Ovis aries: one gene and its partner. The protein of the gene in region 2 interacts with the protein of the main gene of each other region in a pairwise test. Links are inferred from orthologs where the notes say so. Each region holds a gene or a part of one and is shown on either strand. Other genes may lie near its edges.

Region 1 (3,745 bases), on a different chromosome or scaffold from region 2:
TCACCATTTATAACATTGTTTCTAAGGGAAACACATTCCATGCACCAAACAATGAATTTATAAAGTGTGTCTGGCTTCCAGGAGGGATGAGCTGACCCAGCTGTACCCTGAGGTATAGTTTAACCCTTAGTCTCTGACACCAAAAGGCCTGGAGATCAACTCTACAGGTCTGGAGTATGTATGTTAGTCGCTCAATCGTCTCTGACTCTGCGACCCCATGGACTATAGCCCGTCAGGCTCCTTTGTCCATGGAATTCTCCAGGCAAGAATACTGGAGTGGGTTGCCATTCCCTTCTCCAGGGGATCTTCTCGACTCAGGGATAGAACCAGGTCTCCTGCATTGCAGGAAGCCCATAGTATGTTTGTGGGGCTGGGGGAGAATTGCGATAAGAAGGAGGGAACAGATAAGGCGCCCCTCATCTGGGGTGCTCTAGGGATCCCTGTGCACTGAGAGGCCATGAGGCTCAGGGATGGCTAAGAGGGGGAGGTGAGAGGACAAAGAAACTTGGCCTCCATATTGGTGTCATGTGTGCCAGCCCGCGAAAGCCCGCGAAGTCCAAGGGGCCTTGCTCAGCTCAAACCCTTTCTGGAATAAGCAGGTGTTAGAAAACATATCCCATATTCTCTGCTTGGGGAATCCAGGGCGCTCGACTTGGGCTTCGCGGGGCAGAGTGACTGATCTCTGGGAGTGGCTATCACCGTCCAGAGCGAGCCAAGGGCCAAGACTACATCCCTTTCGGAGGTTTTGGAGAACGCGGTGAGCAAGCCAGCTCATTCTCCCCACCCTCTTACTTCTACCCCTCCACCCCAGGCCGGAAGAGGCGCTGGCAGCCTGAGCCCTGACTCGCAGGAGGGAAGGAGGCGACGCGCAGCCACAGCTTTGTCTGGGAGGGAGGGGAGAAGCCCCGCCCCCAGGGGGCGGGGGGCCGCGAGAGGAGGGGGAAGAAGAAAGGCTAGGGAAGGAGGGTGGAGGGAGCGGTGGAGAGCTAGAGAAAAGAGTAAGGGAGGGCGGTCAGATCCGATAGAGGCAGATAAAGACGGAGGGGCGGGAGAGAGGACAAGGAAGGGCGGAGGGGGGCGGGGCGCCCGACCCCCAGCTGCGCGGCTGCAGCCAGCTCTGCCGAGCTGCTAGGGATCCTGGCCCGCCGATTGCTGAACGAGCTCCGTGGCCACCCCCGCCCCCCTACTTTCCAATTCCACGGTCCCCGCAGCGCGCGCGAGATGCAGCCGGTTCCGGACGCAGGCAAGGCGCGGGGCGCGGGCGGCTGGGAGCAAGCCTCCCGGAGCAAGTTGCGGGGCGCGAGGTGTGGTGTACTGGGCGGTCCTCTCTCCCCTCGCTGAAAGTTTGCTCGCAGTGTCCCCTGCTTCTTCCGTGTCAACCCCTCAGTGCCTCGGCGCCCTCCTTTCCCAGACGCTGGGGGTTCCAGGCTGTGCGGGCTCCGCTGGGGCCGCGTAGGCGCGGAACCCCGGCCAGCCTGCCTTCTGAGGGACAAAGTTGTGGTCCAGGCTCTTCCTTCCCCTTCGATTCCCTGGGGGTTTCTTCCTTCTCTCCGCGCCAAGGGCGGCGGCAGGAAGCCCCCCACCCCCCAACCTTATTCCCGGGGTCCCCCGGGACTCCCTGGCGAGAAGTTGCCGGGCGGGCAGGTGCAGGGACGTCAGACCCCGACAGCCCGGGGGTTTGGGTGGGTGGTGGTGTCCGATCCTAATCCGGTTCTCTTCTTCCCGACTGAACCGAGGGTTCCCTGGAGGCGCGTTCCAACCAACAGCGCCTGAGCCTCCCTTGGCCTTCAGAAGGGCGTTGGACGCGTTGGGGGCCTCGGTCCTCCTTGCACTTCCCCTTTGCCGGCTCTTGGCCTGCCTCCAGAGCCTGAGGTCGTTGAGAACCTCGGCTTTGCGTCCTGTCTCACTGAAGAGGCAAGTGCCTTGGGCCGACTTCGGCCACCACTGCATTTTGAGCCCCTGCATTGCACTCAGTTCCTAAGCTGGGAAAGCCCTAGGGACAGAGAGAGACACAGTCGCCTGACAGGGAGACATGAGGCTCCATTTTATCCTGGGGCGCTCCTTGGGTCCTGAGTTATTCACTGCACCTCTGCCCCTCAGTGACAGAAGGAGCTGAGGGCCAGGCTTCTGAACCCTGCGATGCACTTTATTCCCAGGTGCGTGGAATCTGGATCCCTAGAGCTTGTTCTCCCAGAGAACAGAGTTGTCTAGAGCTGGCCAAGTTCATAATATGTACTTTACATGTGATGAGTGAATGTAGGCACCAATGAGCTGACAAATAACAATCCCTGTCACAATTGATCTTGGCACAATGGGAAGAAAGAATTAGAAACAATGATTCTTTTAAACAGCTGTGAGACAGAACCAGGGGCCTTCTTTCCAGAGCATCTGGTTGAGGAACCTGGGGTTGGATTTATTTTATTCATCAATCTACATTTACTTACTGGAAACTTTTTCTTCAGGTGGTCTGAAGAATTAAACCTCTTATGGCTAAGCTATATTACGTTGTTTGAGAAGAGGTTTTGTTTGTCTGTTTGCTTGTTTTTGTTGTTTTGTTTTAAACTTGTGTCCAAATTCAGTGTTTCAGGGACTAAAATTGAAGTCAGCCTGCGAGGTGCCCATTTGGGATCAGAGACTCTGAAGTAAGGCCATGAGTATGGGCAGCAACTGTGCTTTCTCCTCTGAACAGGTCAGCCTGATGCCTGAGAGCTGCAGCAATCCAGTGGGCCTCAGGGGGATAGAAGAGGGCCTCAAAGGATGACTGAGCTCAGAGAGGCAGGGTAGCTTTAGAAAGAGGGTAGTTCTTCCCCTGGGGTAAGGAGGTAGCGATGCCTGGGAGTCCAGCCTGGTTCAATTCAGGATTCCCTGTGCTAAGAAAGCTGGAAGGTGAATCCTGCTCCTCCTTCAGAAAAAGGGAGAGCAGAAGTGGAGTACTGAGTAGTAGATCTGTGACATGCAACCTAAACATACCCTTGTTTTTATGCTGGTGAAATCTGGTTGGAATGATGAGGACACCTTTGGGGGACCTGGTTGAGAGAAGGCCAGTGGACCAGAGCCCCTAGTCACATCCTTGTCCAGGGGAAGGTAATATGCCCTCTACACCTGGCCGAGCAGGCCAGGGCCTGCACAGTATCTGCCCCTGCTGTATTTCTAGCTGGCAGCATCCCCACCTTCCTGAGAGTGGTTTCACTCTGCTCCAGAGTCCACTTCTCTGGGGTTGTGCAGAGGTGGGACGAGATTATCAGAGAATCCCTTGGAGAGTTTGGGGAAACTGGACGATCCCAAGAGCAGTCTCAGGATTTGTCCACGTTCCTTTTCCTCTGCTCAGAGTGAGAAACTGGGAAGGTCTCAGCAGGGTTTTGGGGGATGGAATGAGACATCCAGTCTGTCTTCAAGCCATAGTTGCAGTTTATAAAACTAGAGCAGTGGTCCTTTTCTGCACCTCCTCACTAATCCCACTACTCATCACAATATGGTCCAGTTATTTATCCCAGTGACATACCGTGCCATTTAAACACTCCCTGCCTCTCCAGAAGAATTTTAAATAAATCCTTAAGGCTGGGTTAGCTACCACAGGCCCATGATTGCTAACTTCAATTGTTTGATTATTTGTGGGTTCCTATGGAGGATGAGGTGGGGGAGGGGATGGAGCTGGAGGCAGAGGGGAAGCAGAGCGCAGTAAACAGGAACATCCTCCAGATTCCATTGGCTAGGTGGCCAGGAGGTCATTTTTAATCATCCCTTG
Region 2 (3,745 bases):
TTCCTTTCACAAGAAACTGTCTAATGTGAAAGTATGAAAGTGAGAGTCACTCAGTTGTGTCCGACTCTGAGACCCCATGGAATTCTCCAGGCAGAATACTGGAACGGGTAGCCTTTCCCTTCTCCAGGGGATCTTTCCAACCCAGAGATCGAACCCAGGTCTCCTGCATTGCAGGCAGATTCTTTACCAGCTGAGCCACAAGGGAAGCCCTGCATAAATTCATTTAATCATGGAGTATCACGCATATACACAAATAAACACAGAGACACCATTACCAATAACAGCCCCGCAAGTCGTAAAACTATATGCCAAACGTTCAACAATTGATACAGTCCTCCAGTGTCTTTTCCACTCTTACTTTTAAACTTTTCTCGGTTTTTGCCATGCTGCACGGCTTGCAATATATTGTTTCCCGATGAGGGATCGAACCCTGCAGCGGAAGCACCGAGTCCTAACCACTGGACTAACTGGAAGTCCTCAGTGTCCTAATACAAACTAGAATTCCAGTGAAGCAGCTGTCCTGGGATTCCAGCACATTAAAACCCATTACAAAGAGGATACTGCCTCTCTATGTTACTGTCGGGAGGCAGTCAAGTACCCCAGGGCCCTTGAGGGGGCAGAAGCTGCAAACACATCTGTGGGAAAGTTGCATTTGATTCTGCTGAAGGTCAGGGCGATTTGCCGAGTGACAGCAGCCCTCCGCCCACATCACACATTTCTGTGTCCATCCCCCTTTCCTTATTAATTAGCACCTGAACTGAGTTCTGATGGTGGCGGGAGCAGAACCCACCCCCACCTCCCACACTCCTCTTCCGCTCGATCCTGGCTTCGAGTCTGAGCTCTGCTTCCCTGAAGCCAGCTGCAGTGGGGAGCACACTGAGCAGCCTCGGCTGGGGACTGCAGAGAGGCCGGGCCAGGCTTTCCTGATGAGGGCGTAATAGCTGCTGCTGCACAGTGCTACAGCTGGATGGGAGATGGGGGCTGCTGTCATGAGGGAAGAGGCTTGACTGAAAGATGCAACCCCAGGCCATTTCCAGAGAGGCTTTCTAGATGCTGTACCATCGTCTGCACTTTGTGCTTCAGATATTTAAAATACCTATATAAACACATACGCACATGGGGGTGGGTATCGTCAAATATGACCACAGCAAATATGGGGTGGGGAACAGGAAAAGAAGAAATCTATTTTTCTAGAGAAATCTAATAGGAAAAAGATCTATATTTCTAGATAAGTCTAACAGGAAAATCTATTTTTCTAGATAAATCTAATAGGAAAAGAAGAAATGAAACATCACTGAAGAAATATACACACCTAACTGCTGGAAGAGAAAAATAACAAACCCCCAAGAAGACCGCAAATGTGCTCAGAAAATCTACACAGTGGATGTCCAGTGTTTTATAGTCAGGCTTTGAGAAGATTCTGGCTCAGAGGAGGAGGCTGGAGGGACCTGAGAGCTCTGGGGAGAGTGAGACAGGGCAGGTAGTTGGGGAATTCTCGAGCCTGATGCCTGGTGCAGTAGCCAGTAGGAGGAAGGGGAGGAAGCAGGGCCCAGCCAAACATCAGAGCAGAGGGCAAAGGTCCGAGGGGCCAGAGGTGGAAGGCCGGAGAGGGCATGGATCCAGGGTCACTTCACCCTCTTCTCAAGCCTCATGGCCTCTGTCCATCCAAAGCCCAACCAGGTCTCTTCCCTGTCCCCACAGGTCACCCTGGAGGAAGGGTGTACCACAGGCAGGCCGACAAAGTTATCTGCCATTGTCCTAATAAGCAGGGGCCAAACGGTCATCTCAAGAGTAGCCTCACAACCCACTCTCAAGAAGCTACAAAAAAGCAAGAGAGGGCCCTGGAGACAAGGGAATGATCTGGTAGCATCAGGCATCAACCCCAGCCTCTGTGTGTGTGTGTCTGTGTGTGTGTGTCTCTGTGTCTCTGTGCGTGTGTGTGTGTGTGTGTGTGTGTGTGTGTGTGTGTGTGTACTGGCTGTTTCTGGAGAGGGGCAAGGCGCGCACCTGTCAGAGGAAGAGGTGTTTGTTAAATATCGCATAAGCATACCTAAGGGCACTAAGGAGCAGAGTGTGTCCAGGGGCTACCTCCCTCGGTGAAACCCCCGGTCTTCCCTGGAGCCGGAGCGGGCAGCGCCCCCTCTCGGCTCGCCCCAGCCCGCTCGCTCGCAGCCTCTCGCGGGCGGGCTGCGGTCTTCCCGCGCCCCCCAGCCCCGCCCCGCCCGGACCCTCACACTTACTAGCGCAGCGCAGCGCGCGCCGCCACACCTCTCGCCCGCACAGGTCGCACCAGCCGCGGCCGCCCCGCAGCGCCAGTTCCACGAAGCAGTGGCCCTCGCCTCGCTCCGCCGGGACGCGGGGGTCCTGCGGCTGCTCGAAGATGCTGCGCACGTCGCGGGGCCGGGGCGCGCCGGGCCGCCGCCGCAGTCTCTGCTGCAGACCAGGCCGGAGAGGGCGAGCGGGTCGCGAGGCCCGGGGCTGGGGCTCCGGGTCCCCCCGGGCGGCCCTCCGGGCACCGCGTCTCTCGTGCGCGCCTGGCGCAGTGGAGAGGGGCGCGGGGGCGCAGCGGCGCGAGGAGTGGCCCGGCGGCGGCGGCGGCGGCGGCAGTTCGGGGCCGCTCAGGCTCTGCAGATAGCGCGGCGGTTCTGGCTCCAAGAGCAGCCGGTACGGGCGCTGCCCGATGGCCGGGGACGCCATGGCCATGCCGGCGGCTCTCCGCGCTGGCGCTCCTCCCGAGTCCGCCTCGAGAGCGGGGCGGCCCCAGACCGGCGCGCCTTTAAAGGGGCCGCAGCCGGCGGGGCGGGGCGGGGGCGGGGAGACCTCGGAGAGGCAGGAAGGACGACGCACGGGAACCACCGACCGCCCTGAACAGGGGCGGCAGTGGGGGACGCCTGGGCGAGTGTGGATTCCGGGGAGTCTTCAGGTAGCCGGGGCAGCTGAAGGGTTGCACGTGGAAAGCTTCTTACAGGACAACTCGGAAGAGGCTTTCTGTGGGAGCCTCCTGCCTTCAGCCCTCCTCTCCTCTCCCATCCTTCACCCCAACCCCAGATTTTCACCCGCCAACCCCAGGTTCCCACGCCCCCAATCCACACTCCAACCCGCCCCGAGGAGGGAGCGGGCCGGAGGGAAGGGCTTAGAAACGGAGAATGGGGGTCCAGCGAGACGTCCGCCGGCTCAGAGTCGGCCCGCTGGCCTCCCGGTTTTCACGCGCCCCCCGGCCCTTCCCCTCCGGCGCTCGCCGCAGTCCGCCGCCCCCGCGCGCCCCGAGCCCGGCGCACGCAGGGGATGCCCGGCCGCGGCTCGCGGGCCCACGGCGGCTCCGAGTCCCGTGACGGCGGGGGACGCTTCCGATGCTGATGGCAGCGGGCTGTCCGCGCGCCGCGTTCACCCTGGTTGGATTTCCCCTTTCGCAGCAGCCCTGGCCGGTAGGAGAGTCCTTTCCCGGAAGACTGGAGTTCTGGTGATCCTAGGTCCGTGCCAACACTCCGGGCCCCCGTGGGTTGGGAGAGCTTTCCTTTCTAAGTCAAATCTGCCTCTCCCCATAGATGTTCTAGTAATTACTGTGGAAATACCACCACCACCCCCGCCCGCAGAAGCCCTGCTTTGCACCTGGTGTGGACAGCCCGCCTGTGGGACTCAGAGAGAGATTCCCTTCTATCAGTCCGAGGACAGGCTTCACAGCCTCCCCCCTCCTCTCGATTTTAATGCTCTGCTGTCCTCGCCTTGAAAGCCTTAACAGTTTTTG

The links.
Region 1: the proteins of RASSF5 (region 2) and RASSF2 interact in binary tests that used the Homo sapiens proteins (3 or more experiments, as listed by UniProt). The link is inferred for Ovis aries from reciprocal best matches to the Homo sapiens genes RASSF5 and RASSF2.

The regions. Positions count from the first base shown.
Region 1 is NC_056066.1:46,777,932-46,781,676, reverse strand, and holds the start of RASSF2 (ras association domain-containing protein 2), read left to right. Parts: upstream 1-937; 5' UTR 938-998; exon of another isoform or gene 999-1,304; intron 1,305-1,394; exon of another isoform or gene 1,395-2,156; intron 2,157-3,745. UniProt on the Homo sapiens protein: Potential tumor suppressor. Acts as a KRAS-specific effector protein. May promote apoptosis and cell cycle arrest. Stabilizes STK3/MST2 by protecting it from proteasomal degradation.
Region 2 is NC_056065.1:4,108,551-4,112,295, reverse strand, and holds the start of RASSF5 (ras association domain-containing protein 5), read right to left. Parts: upstream 2,752-3,745; 5' UTR 2,704-2,751; coding exon 2,241-2,703; intron 1-2,240. UniProt on the Homo sapiens protein: Potential tumor suppressor. Seems to be involved in lymphocyte adhesion by linking RAP1A activation upon T-cell receptor or chemokine stimulation to integrin activation.